2 linked regions of the Diceros bicornis minor genome follow. The protein of the gene in region 2 interacts with the protein of the main gene of each other region in a biochemical or structural test. Links are inferred from orthologs where the notes say so. Each region holds a gene or a part of one and is shown on either strand. Other genes may lie near its edges.

Region 1 (3,747 bases), on a different chromosome or scaffold from region 2:
CAGGATTTTTGGCAATCTAGTTATAAAATTCAATTGCAAAACCAAAATCTAGAGAGGATTTAAAGGGATTTAGGTACAGCTAGTCAGTTCCTATTCTAATAGGAATAGTCTTTATTAAAATACCAGACATACCTACAGCTTTCTTTGGTATTTCTCTCAATGACCTCAGCCTTAGGGACACACCCTGAAGTGGGCTTTTTAGAAGCAACAGCTGAGCAGTGACCACTTACCTAAAAGTATAATCCTTTGTGAATATGTCCAGGAAGTCCTGCTTTTAGGGTGCATATTTCCATGAGTTGCAATTCACAAATAGTCTCTCAGCCGTTCAAAGGATATTTGGATATAATATTTTCTCTCTGTTAACCCAACTTAACTTCCTTCCTCAGTTTACGCCCATAATGATTTCATGGTCTGCCTCGATAGTGCTACTTAATTATGAACAAGGTCTAGAGTAAATGACACAATTCAGATTTTCCTTTGTAAACCCTGACAGATAAGCACAATGCATTATCACCACCATCTTACACTTCACTCCAGCAGAGACTGAAGGCCATGAAGGGTAATGGCTACTGGCTCTGTCGATACATAGAGAATCAGAAGTCTAAGCATCAACCTGGTGTTTTGACAAATGTATTTTCTAATTTCTGTCAATGAAATCCAAGAAATGTAACCAGAACCAATGTTGCCACCTCCCACCAAGGGCCACCACCCACTCTTTGAATTACCTTCCTCCAGTTCATCCATGCTTCCGATTTTCCTGGCTCCATCAATGGTGTAAATGTAACGCACTCCCTGAGGCAGGTTGATGTTGTCAGACAGAGATCGAGTCAGGTCAGCCAGCAAGGCGTCGAAGCTGCGAAAACGGTCAGAGGACACAGCGTACACAATCCCCTTGAAGTAGCGGTCCCCATTGCGGTAGAAACGTACCTTCTTGGCTTTCTTCTCGTTGCTCAGTGCCTGCAAGGTTCTGGTTCGGTAGAAGCTACAATGGGCGCTGTGAGTGGGGCTAGGGAGCCCATTCATCCGTGAGCCTCGCATGTTCCTGGATGTCTTATCTCTTTCGTCAAAATGTCCAAAATCAAGTTCCATATTTTGGTGGAACCTCAGAGACCTGAGTGTTGTAGAAAGGGGCGGGGGAGAGTGAAAAGAGGCAAAGAAAAAGGAGTGAGGAGGAAAAAAAACGAAAGGAATTCAAATATTAGCTAGATCCAGATCTGCAATCTGCTGCTTGTGAAAAGAACTGGTTGAAAAAAGCCCGTGACCCATCTGCTGCTTGCCCCTGACCTGCAGGAATATTGATCTTAATAGAGAAGAAGGAGGGGCTAGGGGGGTGCTATTGGTTGTGGGGGTTGGGGGTGAGTGATAGGGAAGGAGGCACTTTTGGCACTGTTCCAAACAGAGGAGCAGGAGGAATTTTGAAATAGCTTAAAATCTTGGGACTTACTGACAGTGGCTCCTATCAAATTGTGACTTCGGGCTAAATACATTAAAACTGGCATCTGTTTCCTCGCACATGCCCACATGGCTAACAGTTGTAAATGAATCCATAGCCTGACAAAATTCTCCTTGAAGAGAACAGAAGGAGCTAGCCAACGTTAGCATCTCCAGTTTAGGAAGCAATCTTTGCCTCTCAGTAAAATGACTATGAAGGCGAGTGTTTTAATTTTATTCCAAATCCTTTTTTCTACTCTAATGTGTGTGTCCCCTCCCCCCAGAATAAACTAGGATTCTCCTTTAAAGGGACAGCCTCCAGGGAATAGCCAGCATCTTTGTGCTATTCACCAAACCCTTTCCCCCACCAAGCTGGTGCAGCTATCCAACATTCATAAGCAATAAGCTGAAAAAAAGGATTAGAAAAATCCGTTAGTTAACAAGTTGTTAGCTCTGCTTTCCCCCGTTACCATTTGGTCACAAAATCATTTTCTTTTCTTTCCTTTTTTTTTTTTAGGCACTCGATTCCTCCCCACTGATGCAGCCGCACCTCTTAATGGAATAATTTAATTGTCGAAAGATTCCTAAATGAGTTCCTGAACAGCATATGGGACCTTTAGAAGCAAGCACACCTTTCATTGTTCTGCACTTCTACCCTGACTGAGGGGGCATTTTGCCCTCACGGCAGGCAATTCACCCCAAACTTCTGTATTGCCCAGGTGCATTGGCTGAAGCAAAAGATGGTCATCTGTCAGATTTGCTTTCCCCCCTTCTGCTGAGCCAAAAAAAAAAGAAAAAAAATCAAAACATGAAACCAAATGCAACAGAAGCTCCAAATGCTAGCAAAGGTAGTGACAGCCTAGGAACCAAACTATTAACATGCATCTCACAGATGGGGATAAAAGGACTCACAAAGAAAGCAGGGCTCAGCTGCTACACATTGCCACATTGAGATATTTGCAAGGGACCAGGAGGACAAAGGAGGACTGGTGCCTAGTCGCTTTGCCAGGCTTGGTCCCCCTTTTCTTCCAATGTCACCATGACCTGTGCTGAGCTCAGCGTTGTCTCTGTCAGACAACCTGCAGTGGTGAGAGACCCCACCTCCTCAAGACAAGTAGGAAGCATTTCCCCAGGCATGCCAGTAAAGCTCGGCTTTGCTTTAGGATCAGGGGTGGTGTTATTCTAAATCAACATCACGGTAAAAACAAAGCAACACCAAACTCACTTTTCCAAAGGAAAATCCCAGGAAGAGGCTTAGGAAAAAATCCGATAGAATAAGGCAAAGGGGGAAAAAAAAAAAAAAAAGGAGAAGCAGAGAAAGAGAGAGAGCGTGCACTTTGCCTTGTGCTTTTCCCGTTTGACATCTGTTACATTCTGCCTGAAAATCACTTGAAAGCCCCACTCACCGGTTTTCTGCTGGTTGGGTGGAGATGCTGAGAGAAAGAAAACCAATCTCTCTATGCCTTTGTTGTCTGAGCTCCAAGCAAGAAATTCCTGCCAGGGTGGATAGATGCCTTCTAGGTCCTAGTGCCTTGTCTAGTTCTCCCCTATAACTCAGGTTTAGTGAATCCCCCAACCTCCTATGATTAATTACACTCTTTTTTTTTTTTTTCAACTCACAGGCTGCGTTAACAGCTAGAAAGGTTTCATTTATAACCAACAGGAAATTGCAGGGTAGCAAAAAGATTGCACAGGCAAGTTCAGAATGCTCTACTGAGCAATGTGCTAGCCTTTTCTTTTAGGGAATTGGCAATTTCACTTGGCCAAACAAAACCTTGGCCTAATCTGCCTGGGGGCCAGACTCAGACAGTCAAACCAGTCTTCTTAGAAATTCTAGCTCTCTTCCTTTCACCTTCTTGAAAGAAAACAATCAAATCTGCAAATTCTTTAAGGCATTTTAATTCATGCATCCAACTGGATGTTTTTGAAATGAAATCAGTGGAGTAGACTAAGAGGGAGTAGGAAACTGACGAGATAAGGGAAAAGAGTTCCAGAATTTCATGGAAGGTGGAGCTGCAAAAGAATCCTAAAGACCTTTTAGCTTGGTATAATAACTTGGTTAATGGGATATGCAACGTTTCAAAACCAACCCAGAGACCTTTCTAGGTGAAGTAAGTCTGATGGCTACAAGATAAATATTAATGGCTCTCTCCTCAAACTACCTATTTGTTACCAATTTGCTTCTTTATATCCAATAGGTTATAATAAGAGCAAGGAAGCATCCAAATTGAATTCATTAAATCAAACCGAACTATAAGACAAAAGAAGAGAAAAGTGAGAGACTAGAGTAGAGGTGCGCTCCCACCCTCACAACTG
Region 2 (3,747 bases):
ATCAGTATTTTAACTCATATTTTAGCAAACACACACACATGCCTTGTCGGGATAAAGTTCTAGGTCTTTCTTTGCGCATCAGTTTCGAGACTTCGAGTCTCAGACGTGTGTGTGACTAAGGAAAAGAATAGCTGAATCACATCTAAAAGCGAATCTTCCCAGTTAAAAATCTATAGGAAAAATGCAGACAATTTGGCACTCCATCGGCCTTTTAACCTCAACAGCTCTTCTCCCCAAGTCAACCCAACCCACTCATCTCCCCTTACCCACCCCCTCAACTGGGAAATAAACCCGAAGGCTGGAGGTAGGAGGGACGACGCCCTGACCCGGGCTCCGCTTTATTCTGAAGCCTATCAGGGCCCGGAATCCACGGGTGCCAACGGGTCCCTGCTGTTTGGCCGGGGGACGCGGGGAAAGTGCCGTTTTCGGGCAAGAGCAGGGAGAGGAGGTGAACAGAGCTGGAGTTCGTGAGGAGCCACAACAGTGAGAGGACGGTCTAGAAAAGGGAGTGGAGAGCCTTTTTCCAAGGTTACAGAGGCAAGCCGAGCGCGAGGAGAGCCTCGTGCGCAAACTCGCCCACCGGCCCCTCGGTACCGCCAAGCCGCACCAGCCACCCGCCCGCTAAGCGGAAGGCAGCGCGGCTCAGGGCCCGGCCCAGGCCGGCGCATGCGCCGCAACCCCTCCTCCGCTCCCGGCCCCCTCCCTTCCCTCTTCCCGGCGGGTTTGGGGCGGCGGCGGCGGCGCGGTGACGTCAGGGCGTTGGGGCAGCTCCTGTGACAGACGGAGCTGGAGCGGCGGGGCGGCGGCGGAGTCCGGCGGCCGAGATAGCGAGTGAGCGAGCGAAGGAGCAGCGACCCCGGGGTCCAGGGAGCGAGAAGGAGAAGGAGGGGAGCGCTCGGGCGCGAGCGAGAGAAACTGCGAGCGCCGGGCTTGGGCTCGAGCCCCGGAACGGCTGAGGAGCCCGCCCGCTCCCCTCCCCTCCCCCTCCCCGGGACCGGGCCCAGGCCCAGCGCGCCATCCTCCCCCTCCCTCCTTCCCTCCCTCCCTCCTTCCTCCCTTCCCTCTCCCTCTCCCCCTCCCCCGCCGGTGGATGGGAGTGAAGGACGGAAGAGGCCCTGCGGAGTCGGCGGTGCAGCGCTCCGGTAAGGCGGCTTGGGTCTGCGCCCTCCCCTCTGTCTCCTCCACCGCGCTCGGGCGGCTGCGGGCCGGGCCCGGCGGCCTGACGATGTGGCTGCGCCGGTCCCCTCCCTCCCATTCTCCCCCTCCCCCTGCCGCCGCCTCCTCCTTCTTCTTCTCTCCTCGCTCTCAAAATGGCGGCCGCGACGGCCGTTGAGTGAGAGACACGGGAGGAGGGGGGACAGGCCCGGGAGGTTGCTGCCCTCGCTCCACTGCTCCGCGGCCCGGGTTCGGGGGGTTCTAGGGCCGCCGCGACTCCGTCCGCGGCCCTCCCCGAGAAGAGATCGCCCTCCTCCCTCGGTGACTTAGCAAGAAAAGTATTCTTGGGTAGGAAGGGCGTGGAGAGCAGGTCGCTCTCTGATCTTGGGGAAAGGGTTCGGCCCTCGTCTCGCCGGCCGCGTAAGGCGAGCTCCGCAGTCCCCACGCCCTCCGCGGTTGGCGGCTCGGGGACCCGGCTCAGCCCCGCGCCGCCTCGGCACCCACAGGCCTTCGGGCGTTCCGTCCCCCACCTGTCCTTAGGATGAGGTTGACCTGAGGAGGATGGCCCACCCCTTCCCTGGCGCCCCTGTGCGGTGGTCCAGCCTCGATATCCGCTAAGGAGGAGCGGCCCGACCCACCGAACCATCTGCAGCATCCACCTACCAAATCAGGCGGGGTTTTCTTTTCTGCCACCGGCTCCTCAAACGGGAGTTGCCTTTTGACGTTGTAACAACTGAGCTTCGAGGCCCTCAGCCATTCCCCTTCATCTAATCTCATCTCCCGACTCCTTTAGGAAAGACAGTGCCTTCTGTAGCCTCCCAGGTGAGAAAATGCCTTTGAGGTGGTGGGCAAATTTTAACTCGACCTCTCGAAACAGAAGAGTAGAAAAGAGGAGGTTTTCAATGTCTGAGATGAGAGAGAGCAAGATGCCTTGGCGTTATTTGTTATTCTGCCTTTCTTCAGTGACTTAGCAAGAAACTCCTTGGAAGGAGGGCAGGAGATTTTCTGTTGGGGTTGGGATTTGGGTCCAATTTATATCAATCCTTTGGTTAAGAAATTGTGCTTTGAAAGAGAAGAACCAGATTTGTGGTCTCGTCCTCAATGGGCGATGTCATGCCAAGGTTCCCCCCTCCCCCTTTCCTTAAGAGGCCATTGAGAGAGAATAAAGATATTACTGTTGTTCTGATCGCTACTTTAACACACAATCCTTGGGATTCGTAACGTTTTAAATGCTAAACAAAAAATTTGTGCGATTTTTGGTAATTCTGTTTTTGTTGGGAGGTGGGTTGTTTTGTGTGAATTTCATTTTCAAGCTAGGGCGGAGGAGACAGTGCTTGGGCCTTTGATACCGGTAATGTCATCCCTCCCCTTTTGCCACAGTAGTATTTGCTTGCTTTTTTTTTTTTTTTTTTGCTGCAGCAAGGCTTGATGGCTGCGGGGTCCAGTCTCTTAATCAGGAAAATTTCCTGCTTGGATATGTCAGTAGTGATATAAAGACGAATATATAAAAAGCCTTTACTTAAATTCTGATTTCGTTCTAAGGCAGTAGCTAGCTTTTAATCTCTCATGGGTATCTTTCAGGACACAGTTTTGCAAAATAATTGGCAGTTGCAAATTGCAGTTTTTATTAAAGCAGAAGAGTAATCTGTATTTAGAGTGGTTTATTCTTTCATGTTCTATTATAAATGATCATTGTTTGAATTGGAAGGAGAGGATCTCCTAAAACAAATTTGAAGCTGTTATTTTTTTATAAATCAGGGAAAGGAACCCAATTTTTCACAAAATATTTCTGTATATATTGATTTTTATGGAGCTAGCCCTATTTTGGTACCTCCCCACCACCACCTTTTTTTTTTTAAATGGGCTAATATTTGTGGATGCTGTGAACAGCCATTCAGCTGAGGAGACTGGGTGGAGTAAGAGAGCAGAAGCTGTGAAATGCTAGATTGCCCTTTCATAACATTTTTCTCCTGCTTATGTTTTGTAAGGTTATTTGATGCTAATTAGTGCTACAACAAAGGCATTTCTCTGTAGTAAATCTTAAAATCTCATGTTTTTAGTTTTCACCTTTTTGCAAGATAGATATTGAATGGTTAGGATAAAAAGCAATGTCCCTTTCCTAAAGCAGACACTTATTGTCTCTGTAAATATACATACACATATATATACACAGCCTTGTTAATGTTTTTTATTGTTTTAGTCAAGTAAGTGTAAATTAATGAATGCCAGAAATATTTGGCAAGAAATAGTAGAAATATTGCAAAAATCTAATAATGCTACAGATGTTTTCTTTTACTTTAGTTTGCATTAAAACAGTAAGTCTGATTTTTTAATAATGAACATCAAAGATGAATAAAAAAGGATAAGATAAATTGTGTTAAAGGCTCTTTATATAGACCTTTTCTCTTGTGTTGTCCCTTGAAAGGGACCTTTTTGTAAGGTTCTACCATAAGAGAGGATAGGTCACTTTAATGTCTTGTAGCAGGCACTCATGTGAACAGACATCTTCAAAAGAATGTCAAAATCATGTGGTAAATGAGCCTTCTGACTTTGTCATGTATGATATAGTTTTACATTTTTATTTTAATGTGA

What was found. The genes of interacting proteins can lie anywhere in the genome.
Region 1: the proteins of PAFAH1B1 (region 2) and DCX form a complex in vitro, tested with the Homo sapiens proteins (2 studies listed by BioGRID). The link is inferred for Diceros bicornis minor from reciprocal best matches to the Homo sapiens genes PAFAH1B1 and DCX.

What each region holds. Positions count from the first base shown.
Region 1 is NC_080781.1:103,378,550-103,382,296, forward strand, and holds the start of DCX (neuronal migration protein doublecortin), read right to left. Parts: upstream 2,888-3,747; 5' UTR 2,838-2,887; intron 2,720-2,837; exon of another isoform or gene 2,657-2,719; intron 1,112-2,656; 5' UTR 1,090-1,111; coding exon 726-1,089; intron 1-725. UniProt on the Homo sapiens protein: Microtubule-associated protein required for initial steps of neuronal dispersion and cortex lamination during cerebral cortex development. May act by competing with the putative neuronal protein kinase DCLK1 in binding to a target protein.
Region 2 is NC_080757.1:15,310,096-15,313,842, reverse strand, and holds the start of PAFAH1B1 (platelet-activating factor acetylhydrolase IB subunit beta), read left to right. Parts: upstream 1-780; 5' UTR 781-1,142; intron 1,143-1,695; exon of another isoform or gene 1,696-1,977; intron 1,978-3,747. UniProt on the Homo sapiens protein: Regulatory subunit (beta subunit) of the cytosolic type I platelet-activating factor (PAF) acetylhydrolase (PAF-AH (I)), an enzyme that catalyzes the hydrolyze of the acetyl group at the sn-2 position of PAF and its analogs and participates in PAF inactivation.